Rattus norvegicus: one gene and its partners. The protein of the gene in region 1 purifies or fractionates together with the protein of each later gene. This does not show direct contact. Links are inferred from orthologs where the notes say so. Each region holds a gene or a part of one and is shown in the gene's direction. Other genes may lie near its edges. The genes, in order: Cdk9, Hsp90ab1, Fkbp5, Cdc37, Paf1, Ddx21 and Ddx5.

What was found.
Region 2: the proteins of Cdk9 (region 1) and Hsp90ab1 purify together in Homo sapiens (affinity purification with mass spectrometry; 6 studies listed by BioGRID and IntAct, counting the BioPlex papers as one, with this or other methods). This does not show direct contact. The link is inferred for Rattus norvegicus from reciprocal best matches to the Homo sapiens genes CDK9 and HSP90AB1.
Region 3: the proteins of Cdk9 (region 1) and Fkbp5 purify together in Homo sapiens (affinity purification with mass spectrometry; 10 studies listed by BioGRID and IntAct, counting the BioPlex papers as one, with this or other methods). This does not show direct contact. The link is inferred for Rattus norvegicus from reciprocal best matches to the Homo sapiens genes CDK9 and FKBP5.
Region 4: the proteins of Cdk9 (region 1) and Cdc37 purify together in Homo sapiens (affinity purification with mass spectrometry; 9 studies listed by BioGRID and IntAct, counting the BioPlex papers as one, with this or other methods). This does not show direct contact. The link is inferred for Rattus norvegicus from reciprocal best matches to the Homo sapiens genes CDK9 and CDC37.
Region 5: the proteins of Cdk9 (region 1) and Paf1 purify together in Homo sapiens (affinity purification with western blotting; 3 studies listed by BioGRID and IntAct, with this or other methods). This does not show direct contact. The link is inferred for Rattus norvegicus from reciprocal best matches to the Homo sapiens genes CDK9 and PAF1.
Region 6: the proteins of Cdk9 (region 1) and Ddx21 purify together in Homo sapiens (affinity purification with mass spectrometry; 3 studies listed by BioGRID and IntAct, with this or other methods). This does not show direct contact. The link is inferred for Rattus norvegicus from reciprocal best matches to the Homo sapiens genes CDK9 and DDX21.
Region 7: the proteins of Cdk9 (region 1) and Ddx5 purify together in Homo sapiens (affinity purification with western blotting; 3 studies listed by BioGRID, with this or other methods). This does not show direct contact. The link is inferred for Rattus norvegicus from reciprocal best matches to the Homo sapiens genes CDK9 and DDX5.

The regions. Positions count from the first base shown.
Region 1 is NC_086021.1:36,396,217-36,400,151, reverse strand, and holds the start of Cdk9 (cyclin-dependent kinase 9), read left to right. Parts: upstream 1-1,135; 5' UTR 1,136-1,179; coding exon 1,180-1,271; intron 1,272-1,719; coding exon 1,720-1,801; intron 1,802-3,115; coding exon 3,116-3,206; intron 3,207-3,584; coding exon 3,585-3,751; intron 3,752-3,862; coding exon 3,863-3,935. UniProt on the Homo sapiens protein: Protein kinase involved in the regulation of transcription.
Region 2 is NC_086027.1:22,929,132-22,933,222, forward strand, and holds the start of Hsp90ab1 (heat shock protein HSP 90-beta), read left to right. Parts: upstream 1-1,291; 5' UTR 1,292-1,336; intron 1,337-2,561; coding exon 2,562-2,708; intron 2,709-2,881; coding exon 2,882-3,088; intron 3,089-3,301; coding exon 3,302-3,461; intron 3,462-3,730; coding exon 3,731-4,091. UniProt on the Homo sapiens protein: Molecular chaperone that promotes the maturation, structural maintenance and proper regulation of specific target proteins involved for instance in cell cycle control and signal transduction. Undergoes a functional cycle linked to its ATPase activity.
Region 3 is NC_086038.1:6,540,756-6,544,886, reverse strand, and holds the start of Fkbp5 (peptidyl-prolyl cis-trans isomerase FKBP5), read left to right. Parts: upstream 1-1,331; 5' UTR 1,332-1,418; intron 1,419-1,469; exon of another isoform or gene 1,470-1,967; coding exon of another isoform or gene 1,968-1,994; intron 1,995-4,131. UniProt on the Homo sapiens protein: Immunophilin protein with PPIase and co-chaperone activities. Component of unligated steroid receptors heterocomplexes through interaction with heat-shock protein 90 (HSP90).
Region 4 is NC_086026.1:27,964,131-27,968,100, reverse strand, and holds the start of Cdc37 (hsp90 co-chaperone Cdc37), read left to right. Parts: upstream 1-1,170; 5' UTR 1,171-1,280; coding exon 1,281-1,382; intron 1,383-3,970. UniProt on the Homo sapiens protein: Co-chaperone that binds to numerous kinases and promotes their interaction with the Hsp90 complex, resulting in stabilization and promotion of their activity. Inhibits HSP90AA1 ATPase activity.
Region 5 is NC_086019.1:92,814,197-92,817,275, forward strand, and holds the end of Paf1 (RNA polymerase II-associated factor 1 homolog), read left to right. Parts: intron 1-158; coding exon 159-275; intron 276-376; coding exon 377-505; intron 506-1,654; coding exon 1,655-1,760; intron 1,761-1,854; coding exon 1,855-1,945; coding exon of another isoform or gene 1,946-2,020; coding exon 2,021-2,445; 3' UTR 2,446-2,579; downstream 2,580-3,079. UniProt on the Homo sapiens protein: Component of the PAF1 complex (PAF1C) which has multiple functions during transcription by RNA polymerase II and is implicated in regulation of development and maintenance of embryonic stem cell pluripotency.
Region 6 is NC_086038.1:31,080,239-31,083,738, reverse strand, and holds part of Ddx21 (nucleolar RNA helicase 2), read left to right. Parts: coding exon 1-17; intron 18-1,114; coding exon 1,115-1,274; intron 1,275-2,121; coding exon 2,122-2,256; intron 2,257-3,500.
Region 7 is NC_086028.1:92,223,893-92,226,410, reverse strand, and holds the end of Ddx5 (probable ATP-dependent RNA helicase DDX5), read left to right. Parts: intron 1-826; exon of another isoform or gene 827-892; coding exon 893-1,117; intron 1,118-1,307; coding exon 1,308-1,714; 3' UTR 1,715-2,018; downstream 2,019-2,518. UniProt on the Homo sapiens protein: Involved in the alternative regulation of pre-mRNA splicing; its RNA helicase activity is necessary for increasing tau exon 10 inclusion and occurs in a RBM4-dependent manner. Binds to the tau pre-mRNA in the stem-loop region downstream of exon 10.

The DNA.
Region 1 (3,935 bases):
CATTTCAAAAACGCGCAGGAGTGCCTGTTCAATTTTAACCATTTTTGGGATGATTGACGCAGGACAGACCAGCTTAGCCGCAGCTCTGTGAAGGAAGGCAGTAGATCCATCCTTGCCTTCCTGACCACACAGGATCCAGGGTTTAGGCCTGAGCGTCGCCGCGCCCCCTGGCGGCCGTCAGTTGCCATGTCAACGGCGGGTGGCTGAGACGGCGGAGGCGGCAGCGGGGGCAGTTCTCTCTTCCCCGGGCCTCAGGCCGCTCCCTCGGCACCTCCTGCCTTCGCCTCACTGGGAGCACACTCCCAGCCCTGGAAGAAGGGCCCTTCTGTGGCAGCTGGCATTAGGGGGGTAAACTGAGGCACGCAGCAGGGCGCCGCAGGCAGGTGTCTAGTGCGGAGCCCCACCTCCAAACGCAGAGGAGGGGCTGCTAGCAGTGACGCGCCGAGGGCGGACGCTGGACTGGGAGCGGGAGGGCGGGAGGCGGCGGCGGCAGGTGCGGCCGCGGAGGGTGGGAGGAGGAGGGAGGGGGCGGGAGGGGGAGGGGAGGCCAGGACGGGGACCTCCCCCTTTATAACGCGCCCCCTCCCGGGCTCTCGGGCCGCCTCCTCGTCTGCTCTTGCTATCTCGCCCCCTTTCCTGGCCGCCCCGGGCCGGGTTTGGCCAGGGAGCCCCCGCCCCCAGGCCTTCCCCACACCCCCACCCGTCGCCCCGCGCAGCCCGGCGGAGGCGGCGCCGTCGGAGGAGGAGGAGCAGGGCACTGCGGCTGGCCCCGGATCGGGAGCCAGAGCGGCAGCAGCTTCGGCAGCAGCACGGCCCGGGCCAATGCAGCGGGACGCACCGCCACGAGCCCCAGCCCCAGCGCCACGGCTCCCTGCGCCCCCGATCGGGGCCGCCAACAGCACTAGCGGCGGCGGCGCAGGCGGGGGCAGTGGCGGCGGCGGAGGCTCCTCTGCAGCTCCGGCTCCCCCTGGCCTCCCGGGAACTACAAGTCCCAGGGGGCCTGGCGGCGGGCGGAGACCGGAAGAGGCGGGCTCGGCACCTCGAGGCCGGAAGTGGCCTTGGAGGCGGAAGTGGCGCGGCCGCGGAGGGGCCTGGAGTGTGGCGGGACCGGGAGCGGCGGGAGCTGCGGCTGGGGGCGGCGGCGGCGGCGGCGGCGGCGGCGGCGCGCTGGAGGCGGCCATGGCCAAGCAGTACGACTCAGTGGAATGCCCGTTTTGCGATGAGGTCACCAAGTACGAGAAACTTGCCAAGATCGGCCAAGGCACATTCGGGTAAGATTAGGCCGCGTGGGACCGGTAGCCCAGGACCTGCACTTTCCATGGCCTATATCGGGTCGTTCAGGGCCGGGGCCCGAGGTGGTACGGAAGCTTCTATTTCCTTGATTGTTGCCTGGTCTTGCTAGGCCGCGCCGCAGACGCTCCCGGCCTAACCGAGCGGACTGGCAGGGAGGAGCCTGAGGCCCGTGATGGGGGTTGGGTAGGGTTGCTGAGAGGAACTCAGTTTGTGAGCGGACACCTCTGGGGGGAGGAGTGGGAGCCGAGTAGGAGTAAGAGCAGGGGCTGGGAGAAGGACAGAAAACACGTGGTGTGGAATAACAGCTTACAGGAGTCCCGGGCCGCACCCCACCGTGTGTCTGGTCTCCCGCTGCTCCTCTTCGCGTGGGGGAGGGGCGGTCCCTGCGGAAATGCCTGATGGGTCCCTCGGGTCTTTGTGTTGCAGGGAAGTATTTAAAGCCAAGCACCGTCAGACCGGCCAGAAGGTGGCTCTGAAGAAAGTGTTGATGGAGAATGAGAAGGAGGGGGTGAGTATATGGACCACTGGGCAGTTCTTCTAACCTGTGCTCGGTTTCCACACTGCTACTTAAAAGGGTTTTGTGCTGAGATTCCACCCAAGTATTTTTCGATTTTCCGTGTGACAAGACATTTGGCTTTCCACTTAGACTTTTGAGTTTTTGTGGCAAAGTTCGGTGGGAGGCAAGTGAGGGAGCCTGTGCTTTGCGTGAAAGTGCACGTTGCCTCTAGAAGTGGGGTTTTTGAAAACTTCCAGCTTAGCGTCGAATTTTGTTTTGTACGAAGGGACAATTTGTGCACAGGCAATTTAAAAGGCAGCTTAGCTTAAGGCGTGTTTTGAAGCATGATGTCCCCGTCTTAGCTTTAGTACAGCGTTTTCTTTGTAAGGAAAAAGCTGTTTGACTATTTCCTGTCTATGCGTGTCTTGTTTTCTGGTGTGGCTGTGTACAGCATGCCTGTCTGGTACCTGGGCACCTGAGGAGACCATGCTAGGCTGCCTTGGATCACTTGGGACTAGAATTAAAAAGATCCACCATGTAGAGGCTGGGATTGAACCTAGGTCCTCCGGAAGAACAGCCAGTGTTGTATGTGTGTGTGCATGCATATGTGTATGTCTCCCTGAAATAGGGACTCAACATAAGACTTGTTTAATACAAAAATCTCTCAGTATCCCAGCTGTTCTCAGACTCGCAGAGGGTCAACTGCCTGTGCCCGGAGTGCTGGGAATAAAGGCTTGGGCTGCCACTCTTAGCCAGGACTGGTTTGCTTAACTATTCATCTATCTCTGGACCCAGGGAATTTCTTGATTTTAACCCACAAGCATTAGTGCCAAAGATTTTGTCCCTATTTGAGTTGTCTAAAATAAATTCCTGGCCCAGCGTAGAGGGCTATGATTGTAGTTCCAGCATTTACGAGGCCAAAGAAAAAGGATGGTTCACAAGTCCAAAGCCGCCATTGTCTAGATGGCAAAATCTAGCAGCTCCTTGAGTGAGATGTGTGTGTCCTTTCACTTACCTTCTGCTTTACAGAGACTGGTTGCAGATAAATATATTTATTTTCCCCTCAAGCAAGAGCTCAACTAACCAGACTGGCCTTGAACTTGGGACAGTTCTACTCTCTATTTGACTCCTGATAGTAGGATTGGATTCCAGACAGGAACCGTCTGTCACACAAAAACTATACTCTTACCTGCCTTTCAACCTCTGTCCCTCAGTATAGATCACACACACACACACACACACACACACACACACACACACACACACTTTTACTTCATGGGTCTGTTGCTCTCAATTTTGACCACTTCCTCTCTTTCTCCTCCCTAGTTCCCCATCACAGCCTTGCGGGAAATCAAGATTCTACAGCTCCTAAAGCACGAGAATGTGGTCAACCTGATTGAGATTTGTCGAACCAAAGGTACGATGCTCGTTCTCGGGATAAAATGAACCTTAAACCTTTGCTTGCACTCCTGAGGTAAATGTGCTTAATGCCTCCTCCTGACTTGACTTGATCACACAGCTTCCCGATCTGTTTTGTTTTGAGACAGGGTTGCCCTGTGTAGCCCTGGCTGTCCTTGACCTTGCTCCATAGACCAGGCTAGCCTCACACTGCCTCTGCCTCCCTAGTGCTAGGGCTAAAGGCATGCACCACCAGTGACTGACCACCAGCTTCTCCGGGCTTTCTCCGATGGAGTTGGGTGTTTGTGGATTGGAGGGCTGGGAGTTGGCTGTGGAAAATGAGGTGGGTGCAGGTTTTTTATTTTCCCTCCCACCCTCTCTCCCTATTCTGCACCAGCTTCACCCTATAACCGCTGCAAAGGCAGCATCTATCTGGTGTTCGACTTCTGTGAGCATGACCTCGCTGGGCTGCTGAGCAATGTCTTAGTGAAGTTCACGTTGTCTGAGATCAAGAGAGTAATGCAGATGCTGCTGAATGGCCTCTACTACATCCACAGGAACAAGGTGAGGCCTGGGGCCGGGACAGACTGGGGCTTCTTTGCTCTTCACTGCCTTGTGGGTGGGTCTCTGGGATACTATGAGACCTGACCGAGCTCTCATGCGTCCTCCCTGCAGATCCTGCACAGGGACATGAAGGCTGCCAACGTGCTCATTACCCGAGATGGGGTCCTAAAGCTGGCAGATTTTG
Region 2 (4,091 bases), on another chromosome or scaffold:
AAAACACTGGTGCAACTTGGTTCTGGCTCCTGGAACCCGGCCAACCTGTGACCAGCATCTTCATGCGGATACCTTAGAGCTCTCGTTAATCTGCAAAGACCGTGACCTCCTCCTCTCTAGGTTCAAAGAGCTGCAGTAGGGAAGAGGGCTAGCTAGAAAAGCGAAACCAGCTTGAGAAACAGCTTGTGCTCGCAAAGGGAAGGCACATGTCCCCGCGCGCCTTGTACGTGGGCGACCCGGGAGGCTGAGGGTTGGGGAGTGTTCTACCCAGTAGCGTTCGGTTTCCCGTCTCTGTTCACAGAAAGGTGTCCGCAGTCACTCACCCCCACAGCCCCCGTGCCCTGTGACCGATCCAGGTCAGCCATCCCTCCCCCCTCTGCGCTCCACACCTCCACAGTAATGTGGGCCTTCCAGGGCCACGAGTCGTACAAACGTAGCCCATGGTACAGAGACTTGGGGAAAATATTTCCCCAGGTTAAGATCGTGGCAGAGAAAAAGAACCAGCCGAAAGGCGATGAAGACACAGCCCCCGCCGCAGCAGGGGAGGTGGAGCCTCGGGGGGAGGGGTTGAGACCGCCGAGACAGGCCTAGAAACTGCTGGAAGAAATCGAAGCACCGCCACTGCTGCTCCTTCCGCCACAGGCCGCCAAAGAGTCCCTGCTAGCCCAGGCCCGCGCCCCTCCCCTCGGAGAAGCTGCTCCCCGCCTGCCGCTTCGCTGTACCGGGGAGGGTGGGGATCAGGGACTCCTTAAAGTTGGACAACGAATTTCTTATCATCCTTTTCTCTCGATGTGCGATTTGTAGGGAACATTCTAGTAAGATCGGGTCTGAAAATGGCAGCCGAATTGGTCACCTCCGTTCTCTTTCAGAAGTCCCTTGAGGACTGGACTCTTGAGGGTGGGAGCGCCTACATCGAATTTTCTGCGCGAGTCCGTGGGGTATTCGCCGCAGATACATCCCCTAATAGCATATGCATGCTCCCTGGCCATCTTGAGGGCTACATGTCCTACTCATGCAGAAATGAGGGTACCAAACGCTATTGAATTGGCCTTGACTCGCAGCCCAGGCCCGGGGTCCCGCTCTTCCCCGCCCCCTCCCCGGTCTGCGAGCATGACGTCAAGGTGGGCGGGCGGTGGCAGGTGCGTGGCTGGCAGCCACTCCTTTAAGGCGGAGGGATCCAAGGGCGGGGCTAGGGCTGTGCTTCGCCTTATATAGGGCGGTCGGGGGCGTTTGGGAGCTCTCTTGAGTCACCCCCGCGCAGCCTAGGCTTGCCGTGCGAGTCGGACGTGGTCCGGGCCCACCCTGCTCTGTACTACTACTCGGCTTTCTCGTCAAGGTAAGGCCGCGCTCTCCTGTACTTGGCGGCTCCGTGGGTCTTCTTCCTGGGGTCTCCGCCAACATCTCATCTGAACTAAAGGCTCCTTGTTGGGCTGGGCGGTCTGCGGGGATAATGTGCCTAGAATGTCTCCAGTGGCTCATGGTGGACCCCGGCGGGCTTGCACCGCGAGGCTCCCCCGGGGCCGGTGGATTCCCCAGAGCGTGAGGTGGGGGTGCGGCCGGGCCAGGTGGTGGGCGGCCGCACGTGGTAGCCGCCGACCCGGGACGCTGCCATGTTTGCCCTCCACTTCCGGGCGCGGCTGCAGGGTCCATAGGGTCCGCGCGGTGGCGGGCTGCTATGTGCATGACTCAGCAAGACGAGGTTGGCCTGGCTACCTCCCCCGGACGCGTTTCCCAACGTGTTTTGTTCTGGGGAGGGGTACAAGGGTTGGCAGGAACGCTTGAACCCACTGCGTTTGTCCCTTTCCAGATCTTTCTGCTGCCCTCCCCGTGGAGTGGGAGGAGAAACGGGGAGGGAGCAGGTACGGGGAGATTCTTAGGTCCCTCCCTTACTCCTCCCCTCCCGGGAGCTCAGATTGTTCTGGAAGCCTCGGGCGCCCCGCCCCAGTGCCCGGATGCTGGGGCGGTGGGAGGGCTACAGTGGCGCCCCCTCCCCGTGAGTCTCCTGGCGACGCATGTCCGGGTCGCCGGACGGCTGGGCCACCATTTTACTTGTGTTTGGGCCTATGCAAGTCTGCACAGTTCAGCGTTCATGGTGGAGCTTTTTACCTCTTTGTCCTGATTTAATTGCCCTTTGAGTCCTTCCAGAACTATAGCTTCGGGTTTTCTTGCCCTGCCGAGGGGAAGAGCACAAATCCGTTTACGGGAGGCTGCTCTTTCTGTTAAAGTTGATACTTAACCCCAGTGAAGAATGAAGAAGAAATTGGGGATCTTATTGTATAGTTAACTCAGTCTGGATTTTTACTATATCGGCAGGTGTTCTGTTCTGAGTCAGGGAGCTGAACTCTTAATATGCCGTTCAAAAAGTCTGACATTTGGACATTAGTTTGAAGAGCCATCCTTTGGGTTTTTTTCCATTCTTGATTTGTCTTGCCACTGTAGCTTTAAGGTCTTTCTTTTATTTCTTTCTTTTTTTAAACAAATGGCGGTTCTAGTCTTGGGAATGGGTACTACCCAGATTAAAGAAGTTTGAACTGAACTTTTAATAAGACTTTCATTCTTAGATGCCTGAGGAAGTGCACCATGGAGAGGAAGAGGTGGAGACCTTCGCCTTTCAGGCAGAAATTGCCCAGCTGATGTCCCTCATCATCAACACTTTCTACTCAAACAAAGAGATTTTCCTCCGGGAGTTGATCTCTAATGCTTCTGATGTGAGTGTTCTGTTGAATTTCTAAGACGCCACAGAAGAGTGTGAGTGAGTGAGTGAGTGTGAGAGAGAGAGAGAGAGAGAGAGAAGCAGGGAGTGATTAGAGTAATCCAGCAGTTGATGAGAAGGAACTGTTTGGATAAATGGAATAAGTGGCTGTGTACGTGTACATTACAGGCCCTGGACAAGATTCGGTATGAGAGCCTGACTGACCCTTCCAAGTTGGACAGCGGGAAAGAGCTGAAGATTGACATCATCCCCAACCCTCAGGAACGCACGCTGACTTTGGTGGACACAGGCATTGGCATGACCAAGGCTGACCTCATAAATAACTTGGGAACCATTGCTAAGTCTGGTACAAAGGCGTTCATGGAGGCTCTCCAGGTGCGTGTGTGGCCTTCCACCCATGCCATTCTCAATTTGTTACTGCTTCTGGCTTGCTAATTTAAAACTTGTCAGACTAGGATGTGTGGTCTGTCTTTCTAATAAGTACTTGTGGCCTAGATTCTGGAAGTTGAACTGATTACTACACTTGCTCAGCAAGCGGTTGTGCTTGTACAAGAACAGTTTTGCTCACTCTCTTACAACCCTTTGCAGGCTGGTGCAGACATCTCCATGATTGGGCAGTTTGGTGTCGGCTTCTACTCTGCCTACCTGGTGGCAGAGAAAGTGGTTGTGATCACGAAGCACAACGATGATGAGCAGTATGCCTGGGAGTCTTCTGCTGGTGGATCCTTCACTGTCCGTGCAGACCACGGTGAGATGGCAGTCTACGTTGGGTTGGTAGAATTCTCTGGGGGAAAGCCAGAAAGAAGCAGCCTTAATAGTTACTGTACTCTATAAAAGTACATTTTTGAGGGGTGAATGGCAGCACTTGGGACATGGCATACACGGGTGGTGGGTGAGTTGAGGCAAGCCAGGGCTGTGCAGAAACAGATCGCTTGAGAAACCAGGAACAAAAAAGAGGTGTACCTGTTTGTTGAGTATTTTAGTTGCAGTTTTTCATGTCTGGTTCACTCTCTGTAGGTGAGCCCATTGGCCGGGGTACCAAAGTGATCCTTCACCTCAAAGAAGACCAGACAGAGTACTTAGAGGAGAGGAGGGTCAAGGAGGTGGTGAAGAAACACTCACAGTTCATAGGCTACCCCATCACCCTCTATCTGGAGAAGGAACGCGAGAAGGAGATCAGTGATGATGAGGCAGAGGAAGAGAAAGGGGAGAAGGAGGAGGAAGATAAGGAGGATGAGGAGAAGCCTAAGATTGAGGATGTGGGATCTGATGAGGAGGATGACAGCGGCAAAGATAAGAAAAAGAAAACAAAGAAGATCAAGGAGAAGTACATTGACCAGGAAGAGCTGAATAAGACGAAGCCCATCTGGACCAGAAA
Region 3 (4,131 bases), on another chromosome or scaffold:
GGAGGACCCCTGTCTTAGACAGGGGTCTTTACACCAGTTTTGTCTTTTCCACAGTCGTCTTGGAGGATAGGGAAAGAAGGACCATATGATCACCCACATGGTGACATTTAGACATTTGATATATATCACCATACACGGGGGCATTTATCTTCCTGAGTTCTAAAGTGTGACAATACAAATTAAACCAAAACTAAAACAAAAAGCAGACGTGGAACCAGGAAACATGGATTCTCACATGGCTACAAGACATTTCATAGGCAATTGGGACTTTTACTCCCAGAGAGAGAGAGAGAGAGAGAGAGAGAGAGAGAGAGAGAGAGAGAGTGTGTGTGTGTGTGTGTGTGTGTCTGGAGAGATCCCTAGCTGTTATGAGCACTGGCACTTGCTGGTTGCTTTCCCAGCCTCTGGGAGAGCACAGGATGCTTACAACTCCAGTGACAGGGGATCCGACGCCCTCTTCTGGGCACTGCACTCACAGGATACACACACACACACACACACACACACACACACACACACACACACACACACAGACACACCCTCCTTAGGCAAAACACTCATCACAAACGTTCTTCTAAAAATCTTTTAAGAAACCAACAGTTAGAGCTGAAGTCCCAAGGTGCAGCATCTGAGCGTCTGAGGAGTCACCCAGAGGTGGCGAGTTGGTGGGGGAAGGGGTGCCATCTTGAAGCTGAACTTGGCTCAACAGCCCATCCTTTGGGTTCTTTTCTGACCTCATTACCTGCTGTGTTGCAGAGGCAGAGATCCCAAGGGAAAGCGTGGTCTTCACGCCCACTGGGTGTCCAGAGAGAGGTGCTAGATCGGATTCTTCCCAGTCTCTAAAGGAGCATCTTTAAGTTCATGAGGTTATTTTCCCGGGGTCAGCATGGCCTGACCTCTGCGGCCTCGTGAAGGACGGGCTGGGTAGACAGACGGACGAGGTAGGCGCTTGTCTGGTCCGTATTCTGTCTGGAGGCAAACGAGAAGAGGTATCAGTCAGCTTCCTCCATCCCTCCTCTCCGGCCCCCACAAAGGGCAAGGGCCAGACACGTGGGCCGCGGTGAAGAGGCGGGGATGCAAACGAACGGGGCGGAGGCTCATTTGCATAGACAGTGCGCGGCCACCAATCAGGACCGGCGGAGCGGTAGCCCGCGCGCCTTTTGGGGGCGGATTGACAGCCCCGCGGCCCTATGGGAGGCGGGTCCTGCGGCCGGCGGGGGCGGGACGACGGCGGGCGCTGCCCGGCGCACTAGCCGGCTTGCGGGCGCTGCCAGTCTCCGGCGGCGGTGTCCGGCGCGCGGCTGAGCGAGCGAGCGAGCGTGCGGACGGAGCGGCGGCCTGCTGGGCGGGCTGAGCGGCGCGCGCGGCGGAGAGACGCGAAGCGAGGGACGCAGTGGCGGCGGCGGCGGCGGCGACAGGTACGGGCGCCATTGGCCGCGGGGATGGTGCGCGCGCGCGCGCGGCGGACCCGGGAGCCGGCCCCGTGCTCGCGGTCCCGCTTCTGCCGCCCCTAGCGCGGCTTCCCTGGGGTGGCGTGGACGGGGCGTGCGGGAGGCCTGGGCCCCGCGTGGGTGGCGGAGCGGCCGGCGCCCCTCACCAGCGTCCCCCTCAGCGCGGCGCCGGCTCTCTCGCCCGCGCGCGGCTTTTGTTTCCCGCGCAGCCCACAGGTCCGGGGAGCCCCGTGTCGCTCCGCCACGCCGCCCTCCGGACGCGGAGGAAACTTGGCCTTCCGGAGCCCTGCGAGCCTCGCGGATAACGGAGCGCCTCGCCGCGTCCGCGGGGCCGCGCGATGGGCGTGCCGGCCGGGCACCGCCCTCACCTGCCGCTCCCGAGCCGGCTCGCACCAGGCAGGCAGGTGACCCGAGGGCCTCGGAGGTCCGGAGGAGGAAGGGCCAATTAAAAGTTGCTGTTCGGGCCTCTGAGGTGGCTGAGCGGGTACCGGCGCTTGCAGCCAAGCGTGACACGACATGGGTTCGATCCCCGGAACTGACATGGTGGGTAAGGCGAACCGACTCCCGCGAGTTGTCCTCTGACCTCCACGTGTACACAACACAAACACACACCTCTGACTCTGATGCACACGCTCATCTCTCACCACCCCACCCCCTCTCAATAATACTAAGGAAATAAAAGTTATTTTAGGAGTCTTCATTCCCTTCGGCCCAGCGATTATCACCACTCCTGTTCCGGCCATAGTGCATGACTCCAAACGCAGCATTTTGTGTGTGTTGGAGGGATGAATCTAAGGGAGCCCAATGCATTGTGATCATCTTCCTCCTCCTCATCTTCGCCTGTGGATGAGCCAGGTGGGGCGCTTGCGCCTCGTTTTTTAAATCATTGGTGTCTGCAACCGTGGCGAACGCGTTGGAAGAAGGTACAGATCGTAAGCAGAGCGTGCAGAACTTGGGACAGCCCTCGGCGGGGCTCGGGACAGTGTGTACAGCGCTTGGCCGCCATTCAGTAAATTCTGCATGCGGCAGTTGGGAGCTGGTGGTTTGGGGATTTTTTTTTTTTTCCCTTTCAGGAGTGTGTATTCCAGAGAACTAGGGCTGGGCGTCGAATGGGCGCTTTCTTTGCTTTCTCTAGGGGTGGGAGAGAGTGTCTGTTTCCATTGTCTCTATTTTCACAGGGTTGTGAACAAGGGAAGGGTTAAGGTGTGCTTGGGTTAAGTGTTTTGCCTCTTCCTTCCCACTTCTTGCTGTTAGCTTTATGTGTTGTTGTTACAAAATTGTAGCTTTTCCTCGTGGTGTCTGAATCAATTCAAGAAATGACTTGGGGGAGAAAAATCTTATTCTGGTGGGACATTCTTACCCTGTAATACTTTCACTTAACTGTTTTCTGTTACTCTCCAACCTGTTCCTCATTTGCCCAACATGCTTTGTGTGTGTGTGTGTGTGTGTGTGTGTGTGTGTGTGTGTGTGTTTGTGTGTGTACGCGTGCGCGGTATTTTTTGTTTTGTTTGGTATTTGAAATATCAAAGTTTTATTCCTTTGTTACTGGGAGTTTACTATTCCATTAAAACATACATAAAGTTCTGTAACCTAACACTCTTTTTTAACAGCTTTCACTTTGGGGGGTTCTACAGAAATGGGGTGCTTTAGCTGTTTTTAAGTACAAAGGTTAATAGTAATATTGTTTGTTAGAAACACTCCAATTAGTGTTCTCCCCTTTGTCTTCTGATGTGTCATGTGTGGTAACTGCCTTGGATATAATCTATACTTCAGAGATGTTGAACTTCAGAGCACAGTTAATTTTTATTTAATTACACTAATTAATTGAACAATCATTTTATTCATCTAGCTAATTTGAGTTAGCTATTAGTTGGGACCACTTGAGATTATTATTATTATTTTTTAATTTTGCTTCGTTTTTTGAGACAGGCTTTCTCTGTGTAGCACTGGCTGTCCTGGAACTCACTCGGGAGACCAGGCTGTCCTTCATCTCAGAGATTCCCCCTGCCTCTACCTCCCAGAGCTGGGACTAAAGGTGTTCACCACCACTGCCCAGCCACTTGAGGTAATTTTAAGTTAATCCAGGAATATTTTCTGCAAATTGTTTTAACACAATAGATTCATTAGTGGGGCTTTTGTCATTCCAACATTTAACAAAAGGATGTTTCTCTAGTCACTTTTTAGATTTTATCTTTCGGTCAGTGTTTGTGAGAGAACTTGGCACAGGTGTGGTTGTCAGAGAACAGCTTTGGAGTTTTCCTCTTGCCGTGTGTGGGTCCTGGACTTCCAGTTCCGGTGGTTTGGTTTGTAGGCTCTTTCCTCCGCTGAGCAGTATCACCAGCCAGCATTTCTTTTTAAAGACAGTTTAAACCACCTCAACATGAAAAGCCTAGGGTTCGGGATTGGGCAAGTCAGTTACTTTTTTTTTTTGTTTTTAAAGATTTATTTATTTATTATATATAAATACACTGTAGCTGTCTTCAGATACACCAGAAGAGGGTATCAGATCTCTTTACAGATGGTTGTGAGCCACCATGTGGTTGCTGGGAATTGAACTCATGACCTCTGGAAGAGCAGTCGGGTGCTCTTACCGCTGAGCCATCTCTCCAGCCCCAGTTACTTTTGAAGATTTTCTTTATTCTTGGGCTGGAAAAGAATGTGTATTGTGTCGTTAGTTCCT
Region 4 (3,970 bases), on another chromosome or scaffold:
ATTTATTTAGCTAGCCAGGTGGTCCTGCTGTATGCCTTTAGTCCCAGCACTTAATCTTCGGAGAATGAGGCAGTCACAGCTCTGAGTTCAAGGCTATTCTCCTCTATAGAGTGAGTTTGAGGAAAGTCAAGGCTACATAGAGTAACTCTGTCTCAAAACAAACAAACAAACAAACAAATAAATATTTTTTTAAAAATTAAGGGCAGGGCTGGAGAGATGGCTCAGTGGTTAAGAGCACCGACAGCTCTTCCAGAGGTCCTGAGTTCAAATCCCAGCAACCACATGGTGGCTCACAACCATCTGGAATGGGATCTGATGCCCTCTTCTGGTGTGTCTGAAGGCAGCTACAGTGTACTTATATAAATAAATAAATCTTTAAAAAAAAATTAAGGGCAGGTCTGGTGTAGTGGTGCACACCTTTAACCCCAGCATTGGGAAGCAGAAGTAGAAAGATCTGTTCATTTGAAGACAGCCTGGTCTACATAGTGAATTCCAGGACAGCCGGAGCTATACAGTGAGACCCTGTCTGGGGAAAAAAACTATTTAAGGGCAAACATCATTAAAAAAAACTATGCGTATTAATATTTTGCCTGCAAGTATATCTGTGTACCACATGCATGCTCGGTGTGGGTGAAGGCCAGAAGGGGGCGCAATATACCCTGAGATGGACTTACCAGATAGGTACGAGCCGCCATGTAGGTGAGGGAGGACCAGCCAGTTCTCCAAACCATTGAGCCATTTCTCCAGGCTCAATTTTGACTTATTTTTTTTTTAGAATGTTTGTTTGTGTAACAACCCTTACGGTCCTAGAAATCACTCTGTAGACCAGGCTGGCCTGGATCCGCCAGATTGCGTCCCCACTGCCCAGCCAATTTTGACTTTTTGACAGTCTCAATATGTACCCTGGCTGGACTAGAACTTGTAGAGAGCCACCTGTTTTCGCCCCTAGCATACTTGGATTACCGTGGGCCACCACGCCCAACAAGACTAACCTTTTGTCTCTAAAGGATGTTCAGTCTGGTTTCGGCGGGAACTTCCAGAAGGCCGCACCACGTACTCCTGGCCCTTTAAAGATGACCTCCGGTTGCCAATGCCGCCGACTCCCGTTGCTAAGGACGAACGTCATGCGCCGACGCTGGGGCGGGGCCGTCGTGCGCGGCGCCCTGGGCGGAAGCGGAAGGGGCGGGGCGGGGCGAGCGGACTCTCTAGCCCTTGTGGGTCCCTGTTCAGCGCCCGGCCGTGTGGAGACCCGGGAGCCAGTCCGGGCCTCCGAGGCGAAGATGGTGGACTACAGCGTTTGGGATCACATCGAGGTGTCGGACGATGAGGACGAGACGCACCCCAACATAGACACGGCCAGCCTGTTCCGCTGGCGGCACCAGGTGGGGCTGTGCGCGCTCATCCCCTTCCCCCCACTCCCGGGACCCCCCGCTCTAGAGTTCTGACCTCTTAGCCAGGCCGCCTGGCGTGGGGGGCGGGGGAGACCTCAGTTCTTGACATCCAGAGCCTCCTGTTCCACAATCTAGACTTTCCCCCTTTCTTTTCTTTCTTCTTTTTTTAAAAACAAAATCTCACTGGGTAGTCTTGCCTGGCCTGGAACTTGCTATATAGAAGAGGCTGGTTTCTAACTCACGGAGATCCTCTTGCCTCTGCCTTCCCAGTGCTGAGGTTAAAGACATGTGCCATCATGCTGGGCTGGACCTTTTAATCCCAGGACTCCTGGATTCTTCATTCTAATTCTTCATCTGTATCTCCGGGCTTTCTCTCTGTGCTGTGGATCTCTTCTGTTTGTACGTTTACTTATTGTGTGTGTGTTCTTGTGTGCACGTGGCACAGCATGCAAAGGAAGATTACAGGATAACTTGCAGAAGTTGGGCCTCTCTTTTCACTTCGTTGGAACTGGGTGTGGAACTCAGGTCACCCCGAGTTGCCACAAGCACCTGTACACTGAGTCATTTTATCAGCTCTTAATACTCTTTAGTCAGAGTCTAGACCCCACCCCACCTCCGAAGCTGACCCATGTGTGTAGGGTCCCCATCATCCTTTGTGGAACCTTTTGTTCTCAGAATTCTTCCTCAGAGTCTGGACCCAGGTTTTGTTAGGTGATCTCATATCCCAGCCATGCACCCACTTCTGATTGCACATCTCCGTTCTGCCTCTCCCCACCCCCTAGAGTCTGGATCCATAAAACTTCGTTCTGATTGTGGCATCTACTTCCCAGGATCTTAGGCACGAATTTCCATTAAGGCCCAGAGACAACCCCCCGAACCCCCAACCCCCTAACTTCCAAACTAAATGAGGGCTGTGCCCTGCTCTTAATTTAATGGTCAATCTTAGTTTGCAGCTGGGATTCCCAGTCCAGGATCGATTTCCCTGGGTTATAGACCAGAGCTACACTTGGGACTTCAGTGTTAGAGCCCCCTTAGCCTCTCTATTTGACCCCCAGCTCCACTCTTGCCCATCATCCAATTCTAGTGGCTTTCCTTATTTTCACCTCCTGTAGATTCTTATTTCCCCTTACTCCAGGAAACCCCACCCACTTAACTTCCGGTCAGAACCTCTGCTCCTAGTAGTATAGTAAGTAGACCCCCATTCTGCCCACATTGGCTCCTGTATGATTTGTAGCCATCATTGAATACTCACCAAACCGGATGGTGATGACACATACTTTTAATCCCAGCTCTCAGGAAGCAGAGGCAGGCGGGCCTGTGAATTCAAGGCCAGCCTGGTCTACAGAGAGTTCCAGCACAGCTAAATAGGGGTACTCTGTTTGGAGGCATGGAGTCCAGTGGCAGGATAGGACAGAGAAAGAAAGTGGGGGAGGGGAGAAAAGGGGGAAAGGAGAAGGAAAAGACAGCTCACCCAATCCCAACCCAGAAAACCAAACCCTTCCTGTCCTACCTGCCCTTCCTCTCCAGTTTCATTGGCCTCTCGAGGGTTCATATCATTCTATTTAACTCTGCACCTCCTGGATCTTGTTCCAACATTACCTTACTTTCTGAGCATTGTAGCACACCTGTAAACTCAGGTCTTAGGAGGTGGAGGTAGAAGGATCTGGAATTCAGAGTTAATCCTTGCTATAGGGCAAATTCTAGGCTATCCTGGACTACGTGAGACCCTGTCTCAAAAACCAAATGGGCTGGAATTCAGTTGTAAGCATTGCCTTGGGCTCCATCTGGCTTAAAAGCTAGCCATGGTGGGGCAGGCCCGTAGTCTCAGCACTGAGAAGATAGAAGCAGGAGGCTCAGAAGTTCAAAGTCATCAGCCACATAGTAAGTATGAGGCTGGCACGGGCTCAGGGAATCCTGTCGATCACTAGGCAGATAAAATAAAGTCCTACACAGTTTTAAATCTGCCCATAACAGATGCCTTAGACTGAGACCGTCAGATCCCCAAGTGTGAGCAAGCCATGCTCTTCCGCCTCTCTTGTGCCAGCATTGCCTGCAGGCCCATAGTGTACTACCTAGATGTAAGGGTGGTCTGAAGATGTAGTTGAGTGGTAGAGCACTCTCTAGCATGCAGGAGGTCCTGGGTTCCATCTCTAGCACAGCAGTAAAGAGACAGTGGCCTAACCTGCCCCCCAAATTAAAGCATCTGTACCCACATACCTGTGTGTCTTTACTCTGTCTAGGTTACATTGTATTTGTGTATGTTCATGCTCATGTATGTGTAAATGTGCCACGCTACCCTGTCACAGTCAGAGGATAACTTGCTGGAATCCGTTCTCTCCACCCACGTGGGCTCGGGATCAAACTCAGGCCGTCAGGGTTGGTAGCAGGCCTTCACCCACTGAGCTCTCTCATCAGCCCTGTGCTTGTTACACTCCCAGGCTGCTGGCAGGTACTCTGCAGTTAGCATTCCACCTTCCTGAGGAAAGCTTCTCCTCTTTACTCCTCGAAAGTCCTTCCCTATCCTCCCCAAATCCAGCAGTCAGCTCTAGTCCCACCTACACACCTATTCCTTCCAGTTT
Region 5 (3,079 bases), on another chromosome or scaffold:
TTTTGACATAGGTTATGGTTCCGTTGCCCAGGCTGACCTCTAGGCTCCTTGCATTCCTCTTGCCTCAATCTCTGGAATGTTGAATGTACAGGCATGTGTCACCACACCCAGCTTTGTTACTTTGCTTTTGACCTTTACTCTCTTTTCCCCCAAACCAGGGGCATGATGGATGAGGAAGGGAACCAGTTTGTGGCTTATTTTCTGCCTGTGGAAGAGACACTAAAAAAACGAAAGCGGGACCAAGAGGAAGAGATGGACTATGCACCAGATGATGTGTAAGTGGGTTAGGGTTAGGGTTAGTGAGGCTTTAGAATTCAGAAGTATGTTTCCTTTACTCCTCTATAACCAATGGGCTGACTGTGTACCTTCTTCCCAGGTATGACTACAAGATTGCTCGAGAATATAACTGGAATGTGAAGAACAAGGCCAGTAAGGGCTACGAGGAAAACTACTTCTTCATCTTCAGAGAGGGTGATGGTGTCTACTACAATGAGCTAGAGACCAGGTACTCAGCACTGTTGTGGGTTTTTTTGTTTGTTTTTGTTTTTTGAGACCATGAATGAACTACTCTGAAGTCATTTGTACCTAAATATTTGTTTTATGTATCTGAGAGAGCAGCAGGACCCTGCTTATTAATGTAGGCTGGGGGGCTGGGGATTTAGCTCAGTGGTAGAGCGCTTACCTAGGAAGCGCAAGGCCCTGGGTTCGGTCCCCAGCTCCGGAAAAAAGAACAAAAAAAAAAAAAAAAAAAAAATGTAGGCTGGACTTGGCTCTCTGTTCCTAGTACTATAAACCACAAAGAAAATTTTCACACAATGTAGGATGTAAACCTAGTCATTTTTCTGTTCATGTGTGTACATACTGGAGCCAGAGATTGAATCAGCTTTCCTTTGTTGCTCTTATTTTGTGTGCATGCATGAGGAGGTTAGAGGATAACTTGGGTGAAGTTACTCTTTCCTGTTCCCCCATGGCACTTTACCAACTGAACCATCTCCTCCAGGCCTTCAGGTTTTAAATAGTTGACAAAAACTTCAAGAGTGTTACCTCAGAACCTTTCTTTTGAGGGCTGAAAGCTAACTTGTCCTAGGGCCTGTGGTTTGAGTTTCTGTTCAATATGGCTGGAGATGTGAAAACAGACAGTGACAACACCGTTAGTGAGTACTACAATTCAGCTGCAATCCAATGCTTTTCTATTTAAAAGCCAGAAACCCAAATAACTACTGGCTACTCTTCTAGGATGTTTGTTTTTCTTTTTTTCTTTTCTGTTTTTCGGAGCTGGGGACCGAACCCAGGGCCAAGCGCTCTACCACTGAGCTAAATCCCCAACCCTGGCTACTCTTCTAGAAGACCCCAGTTCGTATCCCAGTTCCCACTTAGACAGTTTTGCCCAAAGAATCTGATGCCCTCTTGTGGCTTCTTGGGGTACTATACATACAACATGCAAAACACCCATTCACTTAAAATCTTGAAACAAGAAAAATCCAAAAAACTTAAAAGTTGGGTAAATCAAACCCGTAATACCATCTTTCACGTTCACTGTATGTATACTTTGTTTTCTGGTATGCTGTGGGTCAGATTATTGATAGGGAACTAGGTGTCAAGTTAGACTGGTCCCAGTGGAGCCTAACTCCCCTTCTGCAATTGTCCACTGCAGGGTCCGTCTCAGTAAGCGCCGGGCCAAGGCTGGGGTTCAGTCGGGTACCAATGCCTTGCTTGTGGTCAAACACCGTGACATGAATGAGAAGGAATTAGAAGCCCAGGTAAGTTCTACTGTCCCAGAATACCCAAAGGGAGTGTAGTGAGTGAGGACAGGGTTAGAAGTCTTCCATCTTCTTCCCAATTTGCTGACTCCAGGAGGCACGCAAGGCCCAGTTGGAAAACCACGAACCAGAGGAAGAGGAGGAGGAGGAGATGGAGGCTGAAGAGAAAGAAGCTGGAGGCTCAGGTAAAGGACTGGTCACATCCTGGGAGCCCTGGGAGGGTGGGCAATGGAATCTCACCAGTGCCTACTTCCTCACAGATGAGGAACATGAGAAGGGCAGCAGCAGCGAAAAGGAAGGCAGCGAGGATGAGCGCTCTGGCAGTGAGAGTGATCGAGAGGAGGGTGACAGGGATGAGGCAAGTGACAAGAGTGGCAGCGGTGAGGATGAGAGCAGCGAGGACGAAGCACGTGCTGCCCGGGACAAAGAGGAGATTTTCGGTAGTGATGCTGATTCAGAAGATGATGCTGACTCTGATGATGAAGACAGAGGGCAGGCCCACAGGGGCAGTGATAATGACTCGGACAGTGGCAGTGATGGTGGTGGCCAGCGGAGCCGCAGCCAGAGCAGGAGTCGTAGCCGGAGTGCCAGCCCCTTCCCCAGTGGTAGTGAACACTCAGCTCAGGAAGATGGCAGTGAAGCTGCAGCTTCTGATTCCAGTGAGGCTGACAGTGACAGTGACTGAGCCTCAAGACCTTCTAATGAGGTCAGCACAGACACCATTCTTAGGGCAGGGAAGCACTTTTCTAGTTGTCTGTTTTGTGAGCCCTTTGTCCCTACCCTTCAATCTTTGCTGTTAATAAATCTAACTTCTCTGGACTTCATCTCCCAGAGCTTCTGTTCCCCTTCATGTCATCTTCGCACCCCCACCCCCACCCCAGTGCTCAAGGTTCTCCACTTGAAGCACAAAATCAAGTCCCCATTGGATTTCCCAGGAAGTGCATCATAAATGAGAAATTAGAGTCTTTTTTGTTTTTTGTTTTTGTTTTTTTGTTTTCCAAAATAAGCCCAGACCATTAACAATTGAAACTCCAACAAATAAGTCTTCTCCAACAGCGAGAAAAATGTACAGTTACTCAAAGCTGATTCTGCCAGTGGGGCTGGGGACAGAAGTGGGCAGGGTAGGGTGAAACCACAGAGGGGGATGGAGGGTGGGAGGGTCAGGGTCCTGCCTGTCAGAGTAGGGCCGCCTGCGTCCTGCACTCTGCTGTCAGGTGGGTGGGAAGCTCTCACCTCCCTCTTGGGGAGGATATCCCTCATCACCTTCCAGTGCCAGGCAGAGTCAGTAACCCTGATGGGAAGTGAACAAGACAAGACTA
Region 6 (3,500 bases), on another chromosome or scaffold:
AGCAAAGACGCAATCAGGTACGGTCTTTACCACCACCAAGGTCTGTGTTGGTGCTGCTTCTTGAACCTTCAGTGTGTCTTGTTTTAGTGCTTATGAGGAGTTAATACGGGACTGGGGAGATGGGTCAGGTTAAGGGCACTGGCTGCTCTTCCAGAGGTCCTGAGTTCAATTCCCAGCAGCCACATGGTGGCTGATAACCATGATGACCCTGGATTTGGTAGGAAGTTGGTTTCTACTGAAGCACATAGTTCGAATGGGTAATAAGTAGCAAGGGGGTCCACAGGCAAAGGAAGTGCTAGGAGAGCTTGAGAGCCTTCCCAAACCGTATTTTTAAGTTGATTTTATCGTAGCACATTTTCCATAAGAGCCCTGAGATGGGGTACTGTGAAGAACTAATTAACTAGTTCAGGAAATATGGGCTTGGTGACCAGGAAGGAGAGGCCCATTCCAGTAGTGGGAAGAGATATCATGTGGAATGTCAGCCCGTTGCCAGTACAGCTCACCTGACTTGGCAAAGCGACATGCTGATTTGTTGTGGCTGAGACCATGGCCAGCCTCCAGCAAGTACAGTGTTCTGAGACCTCATGTGGAGCACTTTGGGAAAATGTGAAACTGGCTGTGCTTTTGTCTGCTTCTAAAAGTAGCACAGTCTTACTAGTGATCACTGTTTTCTTTGAGTTAAATACTTTATATTCTCTCATTTAAAGGCCAAATGTGGGCCGGGCATGGTGACACGTGTCTGGAATCCCAGCAGGAGGATAGCCATGAGTTAGAGACCATCCTGCTCTGCGTGGCAGGTTCCAGGCAGATGTGTTAAAGTCTTATCCCACAGGGCACAATGAAGGCACTATGGAGCGATCGTGTCCTGTATCCCGAGAGTACTGGAACTCATGCTAGTAGAAGGCCTTGAACTTCAGGCCCTCCTGCCTCCACCTCCTCAGTGCTGGGAATGTGGCATCGCCTCTAGCTTATGAAGTGCTAGGAATTGAACCCGGGACCTCTTCGTGCTGGTGTGGCCACACCCTAGCGTGCTGATGCCCATTCCTAAGCTCATTTCTTCTGTTACTGAGGTGTTCTTCGTCTTAGCCTCTGAAAAGTTCCCTCTCACACACAGGCTCTTGGATTCTGTGCCTCCCACTGCTATTGGCCATTTCAAGCAGTCGGCTGAGAAGCTGATCGAGGAGAAGGGAGCTGTAGAGGCCCTGGCCGCAGCTCTGGCCCACATCTCGGGGGCCACATCGGTGGACCAGCGCTCCCTAATCAACTCACAAGCGGTAAGGTTTGGGCACTTTATAAGGCGGATTAAGCAAACTAGAAGAGTTCATTTGAACTTCCTGATTGACTTCCCCCTTCTTTAGGTAGGAAGGCACTGGCTGTGTTTCGCCATTTTCCTAATTAAAACCAAAGTCAATGGGGCAGAATAGATGAGTGTTTCCCAGGGGTAGATTGGAAGGAGAAACAACACTAACTACTATGGGTAATAGTTTACTTCAATTTTTTTTTTTTTTTATTTTTAAATGAAGGGTCAGTGAAACTCAGCAGGAATGAGCCATCTCTCCAGCCCGAGAACAGATTTCTGAACCTGATCCCTGGCCTCTACACAGACAAATAAGAGAATTAAAGTATGCTAAAATTATAGCTGAGTGAGGTTGTGCCCGCCTATAATCCCAGCACTCAGGAGGCTGGAGATTATGGATTTCTGTGAGTTCGAGGCCAGCCTAGTGGAACAGGCAGGGCTACACAGAGAAAGCCTGTCTCAAACAAACAAAGAAAACAAGTGATAAAACTGAGTTAAAATGCACTGACTTGAAGGCTGCAGTGGTGAGTTCCTTTGACACATTGAATTCCATGTGCCTATTGATTGTAGCCCCACGTGGCATAAGAAGTACAATGGCGATCACTTCCCTGTGCTCAACCAGTCCCCTCCAGTGCAGATCCTTTAGAAAGCTAAGGACTGGGTGCTGACATTGGTACTCCCAACAGTCTTCTAGGACTGCCCCAGCACTATGGCTGGGAGGTGAGCTCTCCGGGAGAGATTCTCTGGAAAGCCTTCCCTCCCCACCCAGAGCAGAGCTTATGGTGCCGATTGGTTTCCAAGTTTCTGCGCCTTTCTCCCCTAAGGGCTTTGTGACCATGATCCTGCGGTGTTCTGTTGAGATGCCCAACATTAGTTATGCCTGGAAAGAACTTAAGGAGCAGCTGGGTGAGAGCATCGATGCCAAAGTGAAGGGGATGGTCTTCCTCAAAGGAAAACTGGTGAGTGCCAGCCTCCAGGACCCTCATCTTACCCCGGAGGTTAGCCGGATGACCGGGGTGTGTCCTCTCCCTGCTTGGTGGGGTGATGCATCTCCTTCCTCTTCACAGTCATCCTCAGTGCTGTCCCCAGCCTAAGCTGCACACAGTGCCTGACCCCAGCACCCAGCTGCTTCCCTGCCATCACCATAAAGTAGCTTACGTCACTTCGAGATTTTGAGTTCAAGTTTGAAACTACTTTTGAAGTTTGAAGGCTACTTTTTTTTAAAAGATATTTATTTATTATCTATGAGTACACTGTAGCTGTTTTCAGACACCCCAGAAGAGGGCATCAGATATCATTACAGATGGTTGTGAGCCAGCATGTGGTTGCTGGGAATTGAACTCAGGACCTCTGGAACAGCAGTCAGTGTTCTTAACCTTCGAGCCATCTCTCCCGCCCGGAAACTTAAAGTTACTTAGCACCCAAAATGTTAAGGTATCGCTAACTTTATGGGAAAATGAGAATAAAAAGGTCAGATAAGTATTATTGGAGATATGGTCACACAGACATACATGTACACATGGATGCACATGGAAAAAATCCCAGAGCCTAGTATTAGGTAAAGGTGTTTGCGGGGTGGGTAATGCCTGATCAGGGAAACCATGAACCATCTTCCAAAAGCTGAGGGTAAACTTGTATCAGCCACCCTGTAGCACCCTGTAGGGCAGGATACCGAACACTCTGTACCTTATTCCCAGTGGAAGCTGACCTTGGTTACTGTCATAGGCTTTCATTGCCGTGAAAAGACACCGTGACCAATGCAACTTTTATATAAAGGTGAACATTTAATTGGGGCTGCTTACAGTCCATTATCTTCATGGTGGGAACTGTGCAGTGTGGGGGCAGACTTGGTGCTGGAGGAGCCGAGAGTTCTAAATCTTGATCCAAAGGCAGCCAGGAGGAGAGTTTTTCTTCTGCACTGGGAGGAGCTTGAGCATTTGGAGACCTCAAAGACACTTTGTCCAACATGGCCATCCCTCCTAATAGTGCCACTTCCCATGGAGCAATCATATTCAAACGACCACAGCTGCTTACAGAGTCTTCCACTCCACTGTTCTTTAAGCCTGAGCTCAGACTCTCAGTGCAGTTTCCTAGTCCTCAACCTGTATGGCGGAGTTCTTGGGGCATCACCCTGGTGTGATTGCTTACAATGGACGTCCTCAAGCCTGTGACCTACTCGGGCAACACCTCTAGACACCTGAAT
Region 7 (2,518 bases), on another chromosome or scaffold:
TGATTGCCATGGTACAGCATTGTTTCAAACTGTTCACTGTGATCTGTGGGTCTTTGAGTTTCAGTGAGTTTGCTGAAATGTCGAAGAAATATTTCCAAACTTCAATGTTCAATGAAATTTTTGTTCAAGTATGAAATGGAGAGAGCAGCTTTAAAAGGTACTAAGCCTTTTACAAATTGGTGAGTACTGGCACATGAGACCTAGAGCAGGACCAACTTCTCACACATAGTCAGTGGGAAAAGAAAGTGCCTTGAAAGTTCCTCCCTCACCTACACAGTAGTCGTCATGTCGAGACCTGCCAGAGAGAGACACATTCTCAAGTGAATCCTGGCTTCTTGGAAGCGCTTGCCTAGACGAGACACAGTGCATTAAAACAACTTTTGGGGGACAGGTATGTTTTTCTTGCAGCTGCAGTTGTAAGGTCTTGGCAAGACAAGCAGTGTGGCCAGAATTGAGTGTAAAGCAAAGGACCTTCACCTTTTTGTTTAAAGGTCCTCAAAATGAGCACACGAAGAGATTGCTGTGAAACTTTTAATTGGCCCTACTGCGCAGAAGCATTCAGATGTCACTTGATGATCTGTAAGGGGACTGTCAATTTGGGAATGTGCTAAGGAGAACACACATTCCCTTGATAGGCTGTCAGTGGGTGGGTGTTAAGACAGCTGACATGTGCTTTTTTTTTTTTTCTTGTTTTTTTTTTTTGTTTTTCCTACCCTGCCCTTTTTCTACCTCAATGGTGTTCCTACAGGAAATGGATAACCATTTTAACTGTATTTTTTTCAGCCCGTACCTTCTTGGGAATACAATTGTCTAACTTTTTATTTTTGGTCTGGCTGTTGTGGTGTGCAAAACTCCGTACATTGCTATTTTGCCACACTGCAACACCTTACAGATGTGGAAGATGTGAAATTTGTCATCAATTATGACTACCCTAACTCCTCAGAGGATTATATTCATCGAATTGGAAGAACTGCTCGCAGTACCAAAACAGGCACAGCATACACTTTCTTTACTCCCAATAACATAAAGCAAGTGAGCGACCTCATCTCTGTGCTTCGGGAAGCCAATCAAGCAATTAATCCCAAGTTGCTTCAGTTGGTCGAAGACAGAGGTTCAGGTAAGAATCTTCCATGAGAGATGTTACGGGATTGTTGACAGTCACCTCTTGTCTACGTCTACGGAGTGGGATTTAAGGACTGAGTTAGTTTTTATTTTGAAACTAAGAAATCTTAAGACCCAGCATAAATAGAGCTATCTCACACTATGCCATGGGTAAGGTGATCAATTTCTACTTATTTTCTTGACAGGTCGTTCCAGGGGTAGAGGAGGCATGAAGGATGATCGTCGTGACAGATACTCTGCAGGGAAAAGGGGTGGATTTAATACCTTTAGAGACAGGGAAAACTATGACAGAGGCTACTCTAGTCTGCTTAAGAGAGATTTTGGGGCTAAAACTCAGAATGGTGTTTACAGTGCTGCAAATTACACCAATGGGAGCTTTGGAAGTAATTTTGTATCTGCTGGCATACAGACCAGTTTTAGGACTGGTAACCCAACAGGGACTTACCAGAACGGTTATGATAGCACTCAGCAATATGGAAGTAATGTTGCAAATATGCACAATGGGATGAACCAACAGGCATATGCATATCCTGCTACCGCAGCTGCTGCGCCTATGATTGGCTATCCAATGCCAACAGGGTATTCTCAATAAGACTTTAGAAGTATATGTAAATGTCTGTTTTTCATAATTGCTCTTTATATTGTGTGTTATCAGACAAGATAGTTATTTAAGAAACATGGGAAATGCAGAAATGACTGCAGTGCAGCAGTAATTATGGTGCACTTTTTTCGCTATTTAAGTTGGATATTTCTCTACATTCCTGAAACAATTTTTAGGTTTTTTTTGTACTAGAAAATGCAGGCAGTGTTTTCACAAAAGTAACTGTACAGTGATTTCAAATACAATAAATGAAGGCAATGCATGGCCTTCCAATAAAAGATATTTGAAGACTGAATTAAGTGGAAATTGTACTTTATTTTACATATATAATGTCATGTAAAACTTGGCTTAGATAGTATGTTTTTGGGGGGATTTTTGTTTTGGTGTTTATTTTTACACAACTAAAGTTGACTACTTCCCATTCCTTGGTTTAGGAGAGGAACTCAGAAGGCCCTTTGTATGGGAAGAATTTAGAAACAATGGATTTTATAATTCTAGATTAATTGCATAAGAAGCTTTGTCAGTAGTTTTCAGTATCAGGGAAGTAAGTCGTTTAATAGCCTATTTTCCTTAAGAGTGAGCTACAGGACAGGAACTGTATATAAGTAACATGGTGACTCTTGCAGAAGTTTTAAGTGGACATTTTGCTTTATCAAATTTATTCCATCTCTTGGCTTTATTGTCAACTGCCAAAATGCACAAAGCTGAAAGACTGTTAGCCCAAGAGCTGTGCACTGTGTCCTTAGTGCAGGTTACCTTGTATTTCTAGTCCTAGCAGACTTGCCAGAGTGCTTA